Linked DNA regions of Oreochromis niloticus. The protein of the gene in region 2 interacts with the protein of the main gene of each other region in a biochemical or structural test. Links are inferred from orthologs where the notes say so. Each region holds a gene or a part of one and is shown on either strand. Other genes may lie near its edges.

Evidence for each region.
Region 1: the proteins of E3 ubiquitin-protein ligase NHLRC1 (region 2) and epm2a form a complex in vitro, tested with the Homo sapiens proteins (3 studies listed by BioGRID, with this or other methods). The link is inferred for Oreochromis niloticus from reciprocal best matches to the Homo sapiens genes NHLRC1 and EPM2A.

The regions. Positions count from the first base shown.
Region 1 is NC_031980.2:11,217,870-11,226,077, forward strand, and holds the start of epm2a (laforin), read left to right. Parts: upstream 1-4,864; 5' UTR 4,865-5,091; coding exon 5,092-5,338; intron 5,339-6,678; coding exon 6,679-6,853; intron 6,854-8,208. UniProt on the Homo sapiens protein: Plays an important role in preventing glycogen hyperphosphorylation and the formation of insoluble aggregates, via its activity as glycogen phosphatase, and by promoting the ubiquitination of proteins involved in glycogen metabolism via its interaction with the E3 ubiquitin ligase NHLRC1/malin.
Region 2 is NC_031976.2:18,789,837-18,797,075, reverse strand, and holds E3 ubiquitin-protein ligase NHLRC1, read left to right. Parts: upstream 1-4,036; 5' UTR 4,037-4,207; coding exon 4,208-5,446; 3' UTR 5,447-6,310; downstream 6,311-7,239. Other genes in the region: ptdss1a (phosphatidylserine synthase 1), read left to right, coding at 26-125, 296-364, 1,665-1,731, 1,937-2,031; kinesin-like protein KIF13A, read left to right, coding at 6,879-6,933, 7,160-7,239. UniProt on the Homo sapiens protein: E3 ubiquitin-protein ligase. Together with the phosphatase EPM2A/laforin, appears to be involved in the clearance of toxic polyglucosan and protein aggregates via multiple pathways.

The DNA.
Region 1 (8,208 bases), on a different chromosome or scaffold from region 2:
CTGCAGTTGATCCCCAACTTCTACTACGCTGTGGAGCATCATCAACAGGTCAGCATTAAATTAAGAGTATGAAAACTGCTACAGTCTGAACTTTTTTTTCAATCATTATATAGTTAACAACAACAGTTGTCTTTAGGCACTTTTATATTGTAAAGTAGCGAGGGTGAAGTAGAGAAGTATGAACTTGATGAAAGACTAGATTTAGAAAGGGCAATAATATGGTGTCACTCGGTGGGGAAAGAAATAAATGGATCATAAAGACAGCCATAAATGGGGTGGGGTGGTATAGGGTGATGGGCTACAAGAGAAAGTAGACAAAAGGTAATTTGTGACAAATGCATGAGGACTAAAGAAATGGGAGGTGCTCAAGCATATAGACGCATAACTGTTATATTAACTTTAATCAAAAAAGAAAGCTTGGTCTTAAAAGCCATTCAAACCCAAAGCGAGAGCTGGTTCCATAGGAGAGGGATCTAATAGCTAAAAGGTCTGACTGCCATTATTCTTTTGCAAACTCTGGTAAACAAATAAATTCTGGATTTAACTGGAAGCCAATGAGTAGAAGCTAATATGGGAGTCTCGGTGAGTACTCTCAGGGCAGTGTTTTGGATCCGCTAAAGGTTTTTCGGAGCGTTTTTAGGACAGCCTGACTCTGAAGAATTATAATAGAGTAGCAAAGGAGTAGTAAACTACTTTGTCACTCAGAGGCAGGATGGCTTCATTTCAGCAATTCACAGTAATACTGGAGGCCATGTCATTCAGGAAATCCATTCAAGCATTACATAAACATCTACAAATTAATTCATTAATAAACAGTCTTGCACATTGTTGGGAGTGTGGTGATTAATTCTTAATTTAAAAATGCTGCAGTGATGTCAGATTCATTGAAAGTCAAACTGTCATGTTTTTGCCAGCTTTGTGAGGAATATAGTGGATTAATACTATCCGTCAGACGGCGACGTGCAAAAAGACACAGAGCTTCAAAAGAGGATCCACCAGATCCATACTTATAGTAGCATACTTATACTGTTGAGGGAGTGATCAAGTTCATCACAATGCTGATCTTCACAGTGACAAGTCAACTCGCTGCAAACAATAATAGACAGGTTGGGCAATGAAATGCATAAAGTGTTTCAATTAAAACATCTTTTATATACAGGTTGTCAATTTTAGATCACATTTTATAGTAAGCTAAATTTAAAGTCCAGAGATTTCCTGATGATTTCCAGAGGAAGCTGTGTGCACAGCTGTGAAGCTTATTTACTCAACACTTCTTTATCTAGCTTGATTACCACTCCTGGGTGTCCAATGGCTCGCTCTTGCTGTGTGTGCAGACAATTTTGGAGACTCTCCCAAATGTTGGAGAGACAGTGGAGTTTGCAGGAATGGCTCGACATCTCTCTCAGAAGTGCACTAATGTATTAAGTTTTACATTTTATCAATCCATGATGCACAACCCTCACTAGCCCCTCCCCCCAAAATCACCACCTCCAAAGAAAAAAAAGTAAAACAACATATACATATATATATACATATATATATTTTTTTAATCACGGTTCTGGTCACAATTCTTAACTGAAACTCCTTCATCCATGGACACTTATTGCTTATTGTGAAAGCTTATTGCTTTCACTAATAAGCCCAGACATGAAGGTAAGACCAGATGTTTGGTATTTGTACAAACTGAGGTCCCTGATCAAAGGCCAAAACTGTGAAGTAGAGAATGGCCAGATGTAACAAAAAGGTTTTGTAATTCAGGTTTTTAAAGATCATATCACTAAATCGGTTGTCCTTTTTTCATTACTTTACAGGTTCTCGTGGGTCAGTGCGCTGAAGAGCGATTTGATGAGTTTGCCCTAAAGCAAATGATTAAGGAGTTTCAAGCCCAGCTGTACAAACTCAGTGAAGCAATTACAGGAAGAAACTCTCAGCTTGAAGTACCCTCCACATATCTGAACCTGATTAAAATAGAGAACAGCATAACTATTTAAGAAAGGTGTCAGCTGGCAGCACCAGGCTAACCTGCATGGTAGGAGGTTAATTCATACAACGGATGCCTGACAAGGTATTTTAGTACTAGAACAGTTTTTTGGTTGTAACCGAAAAACTTTTAGTGTTTTTATTGAATAGTTACAGGCTTTTACACTTTTTTTAAACCTTACATTCATGTGGAAAGAAGAGCAACAGATTTGTGGAAGGTGGATTATTCTAATGTGGTATTGTCACGGCTGCGGGAGCAGACACGTGGAGTGGTGAGAGAAAGGACCCAAGTGCAGGCATTTGGACCGCAGAGCTTTATTTACAGTGGGGAAAACGAAATACAAGCAAGAGCTAAACATGGCAGTGACTAAACTAAAACAAAACCTAAACTGGGTGAAACTAAAAAATGATACAAAGGAACAAAAGCCTGGGACTAGAAACCCAGGACATGAAACATAAAAACCTGAGACAGAGGAAGACACAGGGCTTAAATACACAGGCAGGACAACGAGCGATTGGGGAACAAGGTGGCAACACAGCCGGGACAAATCAGACATAACAAGACAAAGGAAGCAAAGCAGAATACCCAGACATAAGACAAGGACTTTCAAAGTAAAACAGGAAGCACAAGACATTCGCAGACTCAGAGACACAGACTTGACATGACTGACTGGATATGAAACATAGAACACAGGGAAGACACAGTTACTGAAACCAGGAGCTGGAACTACAAATATAACATGAACAGAAAACCATCAACAAAACCAAAGCCATGAATAACAAATAATCATGGAATATAACTTAAACACAAAAGCCATGACAGGTATAGTGAAAAACATGAATTCTCCAGAGGGATTGTGTTTAGAGTCTCTTGATTATACAAACTGATCCTTGCCACCAATTGCACGCATGTCCATATACTGCGGATGCTCACATTAGAGGAGTTGGTCACTTCTAAAGTGCAGTATTAGAAACACAGTGCATGTACAGCATATAGCATGCATGGTGGCAGTGTACAACAATTATTCAGCTTTAACTGATCAAATGGTGAACTGCATGTACGGATCATAATTTCATCCGGTCAGATGAGTGGCAAATTCTGTGCATGATGGCCTAAATTCTACTGACAAGAGAGCACATCCACAAGTCAAAAATGAGCAGATCTAATAAGGGAAAAACAAGTAATCTAACAAACTGAATACTATGTAAGTGCAGATTTTACACATGCTCAAGAGACGGCTAAAGAAGAATCAATACAGTTTATAAGGTTGACCCTCTTTATTTGAAATCGAAGCTAGTTGTGCAGTCTTAGAGGCAGCTGTTCTCTAGAGGCAGGTAAAGGGCAGGATTCATCTAGAAAAGTGCTGCTTTATTAAAATTCTTCTACTTTAAAAGATGTGTGTAGAAGAACACAAATCACCATTTAGGGTCGAGTCAGGTCCTGAGCATACCTCTGTTAATTAAGTTACTGTGCCGTGTGATTAATGCACACATTGCTGGTGTCGTTTTCTGCTGCAGGATTTGTTCAAGTTTCTGTTATTGCCTAATCTCTGAGTAGAAATGTGATTAAAACCCTGAAGCACTGCAAACCTATCGGCTCACTGCAACACAGAACCTGGCTGCCTAACACGCATCCTTGCTTTTCTTTGGATTCTCCTCCTTCTCGTGCACCACATTACTTCTACTCTGTATAAAACCAGCATTTTGTCATTCTTCTTATTTTTGTTATTATTACTGAGGACCAGAAATATTTGGATCTCAGCCCTATACATGCAGGGTGATTCTGAAGGATTAGAGGACAGAGCCCAAGTTTTGGCATGTGTTTGTTCTGGTAATACCTTCTCTCATTCCAAATAAATGAAAACACCTAATGGCAACAATCACAACCACACCAAACAGCTTAAGATGTGTTTAATTTTTTTTTTTTTTTTTTTTTTTTTACCAGATTAGCTAAATGTAAATATTTTATTTCTTTACTTGGAGAGCAGGTATGGTGGAGCATCACTGTGGTGACCTCTAGAAGCACTACATGTTTAAATGTAAGCATACAGTAAATATCCACCAAAGTTTTGAAGGTCAACTTAATAATTTATGGATTAAAAACTGACAAAAAAACCTGAGAACTTACCATTACCAGTGTGGTGGTTTTGTCTACACATAAAATGTACTATATAAAAATGTTAAATATTGTGTCAAGTTTGACCTCTGACTTGTTCTCGGTCAATAGCTGATCTGAAGGCCAAAGTGATGATAAAGCTATGTAGAGCTATTTAAAACTATGTTTCTCACTGCCAATGTTTGTGCTGACAAACTACAAGCATAGAGGGAATCCTATTCTAAATATTGTTTTTAAATATCACATTACTTTGTGCTTCTTCTTTTTTTACCTGTTTTTCAAGTTCGAATGAGGTCAAACAAATTTTATTTTTAAAGCTGTACTTAAAATTCAAGTGCCACATTTAGAAAATTATACTGGTATCTGGGTTTTCTAAATATCACGTTATAGTTTGCAAAAAAAATCATGTCACATTTGACCTCTGATCTCACTTTCGCACTTCACGTCTGCCTTTCTTTCAAATCTAAAAATCTTTAGTTAAAAGTATTGTCAAGAGAAATATAATGAGCTGCCTACAGTAGTTAGAAATGCACTGTTATATAATATTATATAATAAACTTAAGTTATTAGTGTCCAGTTATTTATTAAGCAATAGATGTTATCCATCTGTCATGCTTCCTTTTTTATTGCACTACAAAAGTACGTAAAAAAAAGAAAGAAAAGAAAATGAATGTATAGAAAATATAATACTTTTCCCTTAAGAGTAGATGCTGCCCAGAGAGTAATGTGTTTTCTGAAGCGCAGTATTTTGAGCTGTCCAGTCTCACGTGGCTTCTGCAAGGTGCCCGATAATCCTGGCAGAGTGGGACCTCATTCTCTTTCTCTTGTCTTTGCTGCAAACTGAACTATCCAACTGCACCCGGTTATTTTTAGGCTACACCATACAGTCACAGCGTCGCGAATGTAACGCAATAGCTGCTATAACATTATAGGCCATAATAACCCATAAGGTCGCCATACCAATCGGCTGAACAGATTTAGGCAAGCCTGCGGTCATGTTGTTTAGATTCGGCGTCATTCTCACTCCGGAGTCCTCGGAGGTCGACGTCTTTGTTTTGGGTTCGCGTGCTGAAATGGGGAACTGGGACCCGAACAGAGCGGTTCGGATGAAAGCCACACAGAAACTCCCGTCACCCGCAGAACCGTGTCTGTGGATCGGTGAGGTGCACCTAGCCGAGCCCCACAGAGACACACTGTGGTTCAAGTTCATCCAAAGAGTCAGAGGCACCTTTATCTGGGAAGGTACCTGTGCACTTCTGGTTTAATGTGCATCACATCTGGTTCACACGTAGACGCTTTTCCAAACGTCTCACAGATTTGCTGTAATTATTCTAAGGTTAGCGGGGAGAGACATAAATATGACTGCGCCATGTTTGGTTGCTATAGTGCAATGTTTTCATAGTGCCACATGATGGCGGTAAGTGACACTAAATGTTCAGTGGCTAACAAATTGCATTGTATCTGCAAACCTAAAAAAGTTTAATATTTCTGAAAAATCCGAAAAAACTATTGAGTCTTTTATTTTAAATTAACAGTTGAAATTCAGCATGTGAATATAACGGTTTACAGTTAGAGTTCAGCATTTATACTTCATCATCTGCACCCAGGAATGAATGCACAGTAATGCAATGCTGGATTCCTCTGAAAGTTTCTTTAACATGCAAGCCATATTTAATTTTATGATATTTTTGATGTAATATAAATGGATAAAAGGATTCTCATTTGAAATTAGTCATATGGTCTTAATGTTGGACACAGGGGCGTAATTTCCAGGGGGTTAGGGGGTTATGACCCCCCCCCCCCCAATAATCAGACCCAACCAATATACCCCCCCCCCCCCCCCCCCAATAAAATTATGAATTATCTTGCATAAATAGGCTGTTGATTTTCTTTACTCGTTTCAGGTATTACCAGCAAAATAGTTGCATGTTTAATCATCTAGGAATCTATCTATTTATTTAGACAGAGATCTTGACCCACCCAATGTTCAGCACAAAGTTACGCCAATGGTTGGACAGTTTATAACAAGGGTGTCAAACATAAGGCCCCGGGGCCAGAATCAGCCCGGTGAATACTCCAATCTGCCCCACTGGATAGCTTTAGAATATAAGAAGCAGGGCGTAAATTTTTGACTTTTTTTTTCTATCCTTATAAGTTTTACAACTTCTCCTGTTGATAAAGAATTCCCCCCCCAGTGGCTATTTATAGTACATCACAGAAATTAAGTTATTTAACAGTTAAATAACTGAAAAGTGCCTGTTTTTTGTTTGTTTGTTTACAATCTACTATAGAAATGTATGTTTTTTACAATGGTCCCAGAAAACTGAAACTCATTTCTATTTTTATGTAATTTGACATATTTTTGTCATACAGTTTAAATCATGCTGACACATTTCTTTTTCATTTACTACAACACCATTTCTTTATCATGTAGAAAAACTGAGAAATACTGTTGAAATCTGTTTCATATTTCAAGACATCTCAGCTAAACTTTACACTGGGCCACATGTGACACACTGTTGAAAATGAGTTTGACGTCCCTGATTTATGTGCATTAACCTGCTTGTCATCTTTGTCACCAGGAAGCGGGCCAAGCCATGACAGATGGTGTACATATGATGATAAGAATGTGGTGGACGGCGTGTATTGCCACCCGATCGGCCACTGGATAGAAGAAACAGGGCACACAGATGAGATGAGGCACACCACCAACTTTTATTTCAGTGTGGCTGGTCAGAAGGCCATGCATTTCTCCAGGTAATACAGTACATATACATGCTTTCTGCATGATGTTCTAATCAAGGGAGCCTTAATATAAGATAATTTGCAGTGTTGTGCGTTCGTACACTTCTCACAATTTCGGTAAAGAAAGTTTTTTGCACTTTTACTAAGTAATTCTTTGATGATCACAGTTCAGTGGGTTAGGAAAGGCTGGTTTTATTTTATTTTATTTTATTTATTTATTTTGGTGATTGATGTTTGTGACAGAAGGATAGCAGCGAGACTGAAAGGGAACATTTACAAGATGGTAGTGAGACCTGCTGTGATGTATGGTTTAGAGATGGTCGCACTGACAAATTGACAGGAGGCCAAGCTGGAGGTGGCAAAGATGAAGATACTAAGATTTTCATTAAGAGTGACCAGGATGGACAGAAGTGGAAATCAGTATATCAGAGGGTCAGCTCTGGTTAAGCAGTTTGAACACAAAGTTAGAGAGGCAAGGCTGAGGTGGTTTGGACGTGAGCAGACGAGGGATAGTGGACAAAGAATGGTGAATATGGGGCTGCCAAACTGACCACAGATGTTGAAGTAAAGGTGAAGGATGCTAGCAATAAGGTCAGATGGACACAATTGGTCCATCTGGAGGAACTATTACCCAGTAATGTATCTAAATGTTAATTATTAAGCAAGAAGCTAATAAATAGCTCTTTAATCACCATTTTAAAACACATTTCTTTTACTCTGTGTTGCATCTTTTCTCTATAATTGTTACATCTGAGAAATCAACTGTGGCAGCTTTGAAATTAATAATAAATTTTATTTGTAAAGCACAAAAATGGGCATTTCTATTAAAATAACCCACTTGACTCAAGTGCAACATCAAACTAAGATTAAGAAGCAATGTGATTCCATTGTAATTATATCGTTAACATAGAAATTAACGATATAAGTTAAGCTAAGAATGACAAAAAATCTGAAATCTACATTAGAAGATGGTCAAACAAGATTTTAAAAAAACAAGCCTTACAATATAAATGGAACAGTGATTTAAAGAAGCCACAGATGAGGCGATGCGTATTTCCTCAGACAGGTCATTCCACTTCTGAGGAGCTCTAACAGCAAACGCCTCCTTTCTCTTTAAGCATAAAGTGAGAACAGTTAACAGGTTTCTGTCTGAGGAGCTAAAGAACAAGCCTGTTGGATATTTTCATAACATGTCATGGTTGTCAGTGGGTGACAGGTCTGGGCTGCAGGTAGGTTAGTTTAGCGCCCCAGACCCTTTTGATACGGAGCTTCCTTCTCTGAAAATGGTGTTATTGGGATGACAGCGAATGTTGATCCAACTATGTAACTCATGAGGCAAAAGCCAGCTCAAGCCAGCAGTAAAGAAA
Region 2 (7,239 bases):
TTTGCCCCCTCCTTCTCATTCACAGGGCAATAGCCTTTCTGGAGGCTTTGGCATGCATTAAGTTTGGACAGGACTTGTTCTCAAAAACACAGATCCTCTATGTGATCCTCTGGCTTTTGTGTTTGGTAAGAAAGTCCATTGTGCACTGAAATATGTGTAATTTTTTCTATGCATATGTCTTTATTGTTTAATATGAATATTCTAACATACAAATAAAATATAATTGTGTAAGTTATTTTTTACACATTTTCCATGAATCATTTTACAGTTTATGTTGCCTTCATTCTGTTTTTAGGCCTTCATTACATTCCTGTGCCTGTATGGAATGGTATGGTACGCAGAAACATATGGTCCAAGGGAAAAGGTATGTTTATTGCTTTAGCTTTCATCAGTTTTTCCATTTAACTGCTCTACTGTGGACCTTAAAGCATTTACAAAGAATTTAAGGCCTCACTCACGCAGGCCTACAGACCAGTCGACAATCCCCTGGCAGCCTCTGGAAACTAGTGTAGTCCCTGCACCAAAAACGTACCCAGACTAACTATTCACGGAGCAGTAGTGAAACTTAAAGTGCAATACAACCAGAAACTGAGAACATTCCTCTTCGAACTGAAAGCTGTGCCTTACCACTGCAACCAAAACATTTCAAATGGGACAACTTTTACTTTGAAGGTGTCACACTTTCAGAGTAAAAGTATCCCTGCTCAGCTGGTAGCTAGTAAGTGTTAAGAGGCTATTGGTGCAGCGCCGTATACGACCATTTTCACCCAGCGACCACTAGCAACCACTTGCCAACCGGAACCAGAAAATATAGTTTCCTTAGTGACCTCTGGTTGCCAGGAGTCTGAAGTGTTTTTCCCTTCTGTTGAGGACAGGAATGATAGGAATTAGGAAAAACAAGGTGAATATCCATAAAACCACTTAACACATGAGCAAATTGGAGTTAATTTCAATCCCAACTCGTTTCTTTATTCTCAGCCTATCTAACAAATACAAAAAACGGATTAGTTAGTTATTTAAAAGGTAATTGTGAGATAATGTTCCTGGAGGTCAAGCTCATGGTGCGCCATTGTGGCAGTTCACACTGTTTGGTTGGCGTCCCGCACTTCAGAAGCCAAGAAAATCCATACCCCACACCCACAGTCATTAACAATATAAAAAAGGATTCAAGTTGAACTTTACTCAGATAAAGACCAGCGCCAGGCAACGCTTGGTGGTTAATATTTTTACACCTGGTTGCCTGTGCCCCACAGTTTGAGAGCTACTGCTCTAGTGATTAAACCAAAACCGGATTATAAAGCCATCATTACTGCTAACATTATTATCCCATCGCGTGATTTCTATAGCAGTGTCACACTTCAGTGCCTTTCTGTAAACTCTTGTTACGTCTAAATAAAGCTACAACAAACTGAGATCTGTGCCTGAATGGCAAAAGGCCAAATGTTCTGTGGTGAAGCCAACCATGCTCTGTAGCTAAATAATCATCTACTCTCAAAGATCATTAGTAAATTTTAACATTCAAGGTTTTCCTTGTAGGGGTTGTTATTGGCTTGTTTACAGAGAAAGCTGTACGGGGTCAGTTAGCCGTGATGCATGCACAGTATGGTCCCTGTTCAGTTGCAGGTATGTGTGTGTCATGTGTCTTAAACCTTTTCTCCCCTCAGAGCCTCTCAGAATGTGAAGACAGTAATTTCGCAGAGTTTGCTGACCATGTGTCTGAGGGATTTAAAGGTACACTGACTTCACTGTAATTCACCCAGCACGCCACATTTAAAAAAAATGCACACCACTATTCAGTTGCTGTCTTGTAAAGGGGTGACCTCTAGTGTTTATTATAGTGCTTTACTCATGCATACTCACACATGTATGAGAAAAAACACAGTGCAGTTCCGTCTCTTTATGGGTTCATTTGAAATGAGTGATCTTCATGTTTCAGGAGAAACTGATGTAGACGGCGACAGCCCTAAAGCCAGACAGAGAAAGAAGGACACAGGAAAGACCAAATCCATCAACGGCCTCGACAGCCAGTAGGAGTTGGAGGCGGAGGCTGTTGGGTAACTCCTGTAACCCGAAGTGTGAAAGATTACAGATGGAGAAGAGGGTAAAGCTACGACCGCTTCCTGATGTGACCGAAGCCTAGAAAGCCACCCACCTACAGTAGATGGAGTGCAGACAGCAGAAGTGGAAAAACAGGTCCATGCAGTGTTATTAGGAGTGCACAGTGGCTCATTCTACAGAGATACACACGTTGGTGTGTGCTGTAGTCATAAAAGCTCCTAAACCACTGATCACTTTTTTTTTGTGTGTTTGCTTTTTGGATGAAAGAGTGGGAGAATTTTATTTTGTGCGAGTGTGTGAGAGAAAGGTGTGGCAACAAAAACTGCCATTTCTAAATATAATTGCATGATCATTGTAGCTAGTGAGCTATAATTCACAGTTATCCTATGAAATAGTATCATTGAAGGCTAATGTACAATTGACTGGTTTATACCAACTCTGGTATCAAACCCATTTCAATGTTAAAAGCCATTATGTAGAATTTATCACTTAGTGGAGCGTCTATGTTTATAGCACAAAAGAAGCTAAAGCCTTTTTATATAAATGTCTGTCACTGATGATCTATTTACATCATAGATGTTCACTATTTTACGTTTTTTTAACTTGAATGTGGGCAGGAGTTCAATACCAGACAGCTTTAGCGTGGTAGGATCACCGGCTTTGGTCTGCGTTTGGCCTGTAATGAAGCAAAGCACACAGTTTAAGCACTTTGCAGAAAGTTTATTGAAAATACTGTACATTATGTAATGTTCGAGTATTTTGTGAATCATTGTGACCTTGAGTGATTTTACTCTCCTTGTCCTCCTGTGGCTGCTAATTTTTTTCTTTTCTTTTGTTTTTACTAATAAGAGAACGTAATTATTCAAATTACTGCATGTATTGTCAGGTTTTTCTGTCTGTGTCTGGTTTGGCCTTCTTGTTGCGTATATTGCATTTGCATGGCTGACTCCAATCAAATCAAGTGTTGTAGTAGGAAACCGTTATAAGAGTCTTTGTATTACACCACACAGCAGGATGCCAGTATTGTTATGTACACCTTTTTCACTGTCGTGGTAACATTTTAATTCACCCCTTGTGCCTGTTTGCATGTTTGTTTTGTTTTTTTAATTCCTATCTTCTTTCAGTTTCTATTAAGACTGACTTGTTTTGTGTGTCTTTGATTCTTCTGGCCTTGAGTATTTTATTTGAAGGTTATATTTCCATTTCATGTGTCAGTATCATCTCAGTACAGATATACTATCCCTCATAATCCTTGACAATCCAGACACTGACCTCTCTGGAACAGACCTGGCTCCCGTGCTACATACAGTAGACACTAAATAGGACCTCGTCTGTGGATTTAGATGTCATTTGCCAAAAACAATTCTGCTGAAAACGACCTGTGCTGTTCTTTTCCACTGTGAAACGTATTAAAAGTGTTTTAATTTCCTCTTAATCTTGTTTGGTCATTTTTACTTGCTGTCACATTCCTACTAGCAGGAAGCCCCTCTATGTTTGCGTACTTAACAAGAGAAATTTTCAATGACATTGTTTGACCCCTGAGGAGTGTCCCGCTGCAGCAAAGGAGGGCTGGATTGGCTGATTCAAGCACGGCCCATAACAGATCAGATTTCACTCCGTCTGCACAGCATGAAACTCAGACTGAAATAGCTGCCCCATGCTGACCTACAGCAAGATGTATTTGAAGGTACGGTTGCTGTTCCTTCGGAAATAAACATCATGTAGTCTTAAACATGAGTAGTGGCAGAGCTTCCAGACACACTGTTGCACATTCAAGAGATTGTGCACTGAACTCTAGCCAAACATATTTCTTTCTTTCCTTTTTTTAAAAGTATTTAATATACAGGCTTTTTTCGTCACTGAATTTACTCTGCGATATCTGCAATTTGGGTTCTGTGTTCTGTGACTGTTTTCCAAAGGAGGGCAGCAGAGAGCCTTAGTTATGTGCAAAATACCACGTGACAGTTGAGGCCTAAAAGCCCAGGGCACCAGTGCTTACACAAAATTGTGCTTCATATGCCTCTCTTCACGATTCTCTATTTCACCACGTAAATTGGCACGTGTTCTATTTTGGTTTCCTGAATTTGCTGCTGCCTGCATCAGCTGACTGAACCATCCCACAGGGTTTAAAGAACAGGATATTTCAGTCATGGCCAAGAGTCTCCAACATCGTGGCTGCCTCAGTCCAGAGGGGATAATCAGAGAGATTCAGATCAACCTACTGGAGTGCAAAGTCTGCTTCGAGACGTTTAGCTCTCAGCAAAGGGAGCGCAGACCACAGAACCTTTCCTGTGGCCATGTACTCTGTCTGGAATGCATCACAGCTTTGTCCCACCCTCTCCTGAGGAAGCTGGAGTGCCCTTTCTGTCGACAGTTATGCAGTGTTGACAGCACCTCCCACTGCCAGGTTCTTAGTGACCTAAAGGATCTTCTGTTGTCTCAAAGTCCCTCACCGTCTGCTCCTTCGTGTAGAGCAAAAGCTGGTTTTATCTTTCCCACAGCTCTGACGTGCACAACTCTTCTCCTGCGTACTGCATTTGGTGGGTGGGGGACTCTTATCAACCCAACTGGAATAGCTGTTTTGGGGTCCTCAGGAACAATAGTTGTGGTCCATGATGGAGAGAAGAGAGTGGTAGTGTTCAATCTACAGGGAAAGAAGCTGCACAGCTTTGGGCAAAAAGGAGCAGCCAGTGGGGAGATCTGTTACCCAGTGGACGTGGCAGTGACCCCAGCTGGTCATGTGGTTGTGACTGATGCGGGTGATAAAGCTGTAAAAGTGTTCACGTCCAGGGGGAATCACGTGTTGACAATCAAAGATTCCTTCCAGATGCCCTGGGGCGTGGACACTGACAGCTGTGGACACATCCTGGTCTCTGATGTTGAGGCCGGCACCCTCTCCAAGGTGAGGGTGGACTATAGTAATGGCGTCATTCTAGAGCATCAAACAACCATTTCAGACCTTCAGTGCCCTAAAGCGGTGGCCTACTGTTGCGTGAATGGGAACACTGCAGTGACGGAGCATCTAACTGATGTCACCAATCCAACGGAGAGACACCAACACAGAAGGATCAGGGTGTTTACAAAAGAGTTCCACCTCCTTTACCAGACAGACACTTTCAGCCTGACCCTGCAGTCCACAGTGAGGCTCAGCTTCTCAGGTGTGGCGTTCGACAGAGATGGAGATTTAATTGTGATTGACTCAGACCAGGGGATGATTTGGAGCTTAGGGAAGCTCCAGAGTGGCCCAGTCCTTACTCCTCTTGTGGGAGACCATCTTGTTCGCCCCGTTGGATTAGCGCTACTGAACAACCTTCTCATCACACTGGACAGTGGCGACCATACAGTGAAGATTTATTCTCCCAAATCTGATGCTGGACCTGTGACATAGTTTATGTATGAACAATCCCAAAGTAGCTGTTCAAGTGAGACGAATTAAATAAAGTGAAGTGAAACGCAGCTTAGCACAGGATGAAGTGATGATAGGTTGTATTACATTTTTTTGTTTGAGTTGCCTTCTGTGACTAGTTTTGAAAATACAAGTTTTACTTTAGATAGAGAGTAAAATGTCATTGTGTTACTTTGAAAGTGTCAAAATGAAAAAAAAAAAAGGTTGTATATGGTGAAACCATTTTCAGCAGGACGTCAGGAATGAAATTATGTCTGTTATTGTGTTAATATTGTAGCAGTTGTTGAAAATGATGTTGTATTATTTAATGACGGTGTAATATAGCAATGTGATGATTCTCAGTCTCTGAACTGATCCAAGGCTTTTGAAAAATGAGGCCAAATGAAACTATCTGAGAAAAAAAGGTCCAGCTGCTAACAGCAGACGGTGAGGACATACATAGATGAAGGTGTTGTAGGATTACAAGTAACCAAGTTTAAACGTTATATGCCACAACGACAGATTATATGTTTACTTTTTCCCCTGGATAACAGAACACTTTTTAAATTAGATTATATCACATGTGTTAAAACACAACTTACAGATTTACGCAAATATATATATTAAAAAATAGCTTTTTAATGCAAAATTTTAAGGTGATGGACAAATGGTAAAACTTAAACTTAAAAAAAAAGTAAAAAAAAAAAAGTCCAACATAAATGCTATTGTAAGGGTTAAATTTGGCAGCTTAGGGATATAAGAGTGAAAAACAGACATTATTTTTAGGCTTTACGTCAACAGAAGTGAGGTGGTGGGTCAAAAAATGATTCTGCTAAATATTATAATAAAGTTATATAAACTGTAAAATTTTTAACCCCTTTTCTTGCTTACCAAAAATGCAAATAATTAAACAATTCAGTGTGTATGTGTGTGTGTGAGAGAACTAAGCGCCAATAAGTCATAGTCAAAAATCATGTGATAACAACTGTTTAAAGCTGACTCCAAGCTCCGCACTGCCTCTCAATGCTCACTGATGCATGTGAACTAACTTGTCACACACGCTCACATTTCTCGTTCATTGGTTTCCCCCAATGCGCCGATGCGCCGGCGGGGTGCGTAAATCCTTTCCCCCTCTTTGGCACAGCCTCTCCAGTCTGCCAGAGGATAGCAGTCGTGCTCCCAGTGGAAGATGGCGGTGGGGATGCTGTCTGGGGCTGGAGCTGAGTGCTGGATTTGCACAAGAAGCGAACCCGGATGGATACTAAGACAAAAATGAACGCTTTCCCATCACTTCTCATCGAGGATTGGACTCTTTTGGGATTGTTTAGCTAGATTCTTTTGCCCTTTTTTCTGGCAAAAAGCCGGGCTTTCTTGTCGGAGACTCTGCGTTGATAGCTGGGCGAATAGACAGGGTGGGAGTGAAAAGTGGACGAAAATGTCGGATACAAAGGTAAAAGTTGCAGTGAGAGTTCGGCCCATGAACCGCAGGGGTAAGTGTTATAACGACGATTTCTGCTTGCAGACTACTTTTCTGTCTCCTTGGCTTCGTGCCACATTACCATAAACTTTTGGTTTCTTCGCCATTGCTGCTTTCAGTTTGAGTTGTGAGCCTGAAGTCAGACTTGAGAATAGTTTAACGAAGGCCAAAGTAACTCCGATTTTATTCTTCACACCCCCGCATTCTGCTTCACTTTCCAAACAAACTTTTCTCTGCAGAAATTGAACTGAATACAAAATGTGTCGTGGACATGGAGGACAACCAAACTGTTCTGCACCCACCGCCCTCCAATGCAAAA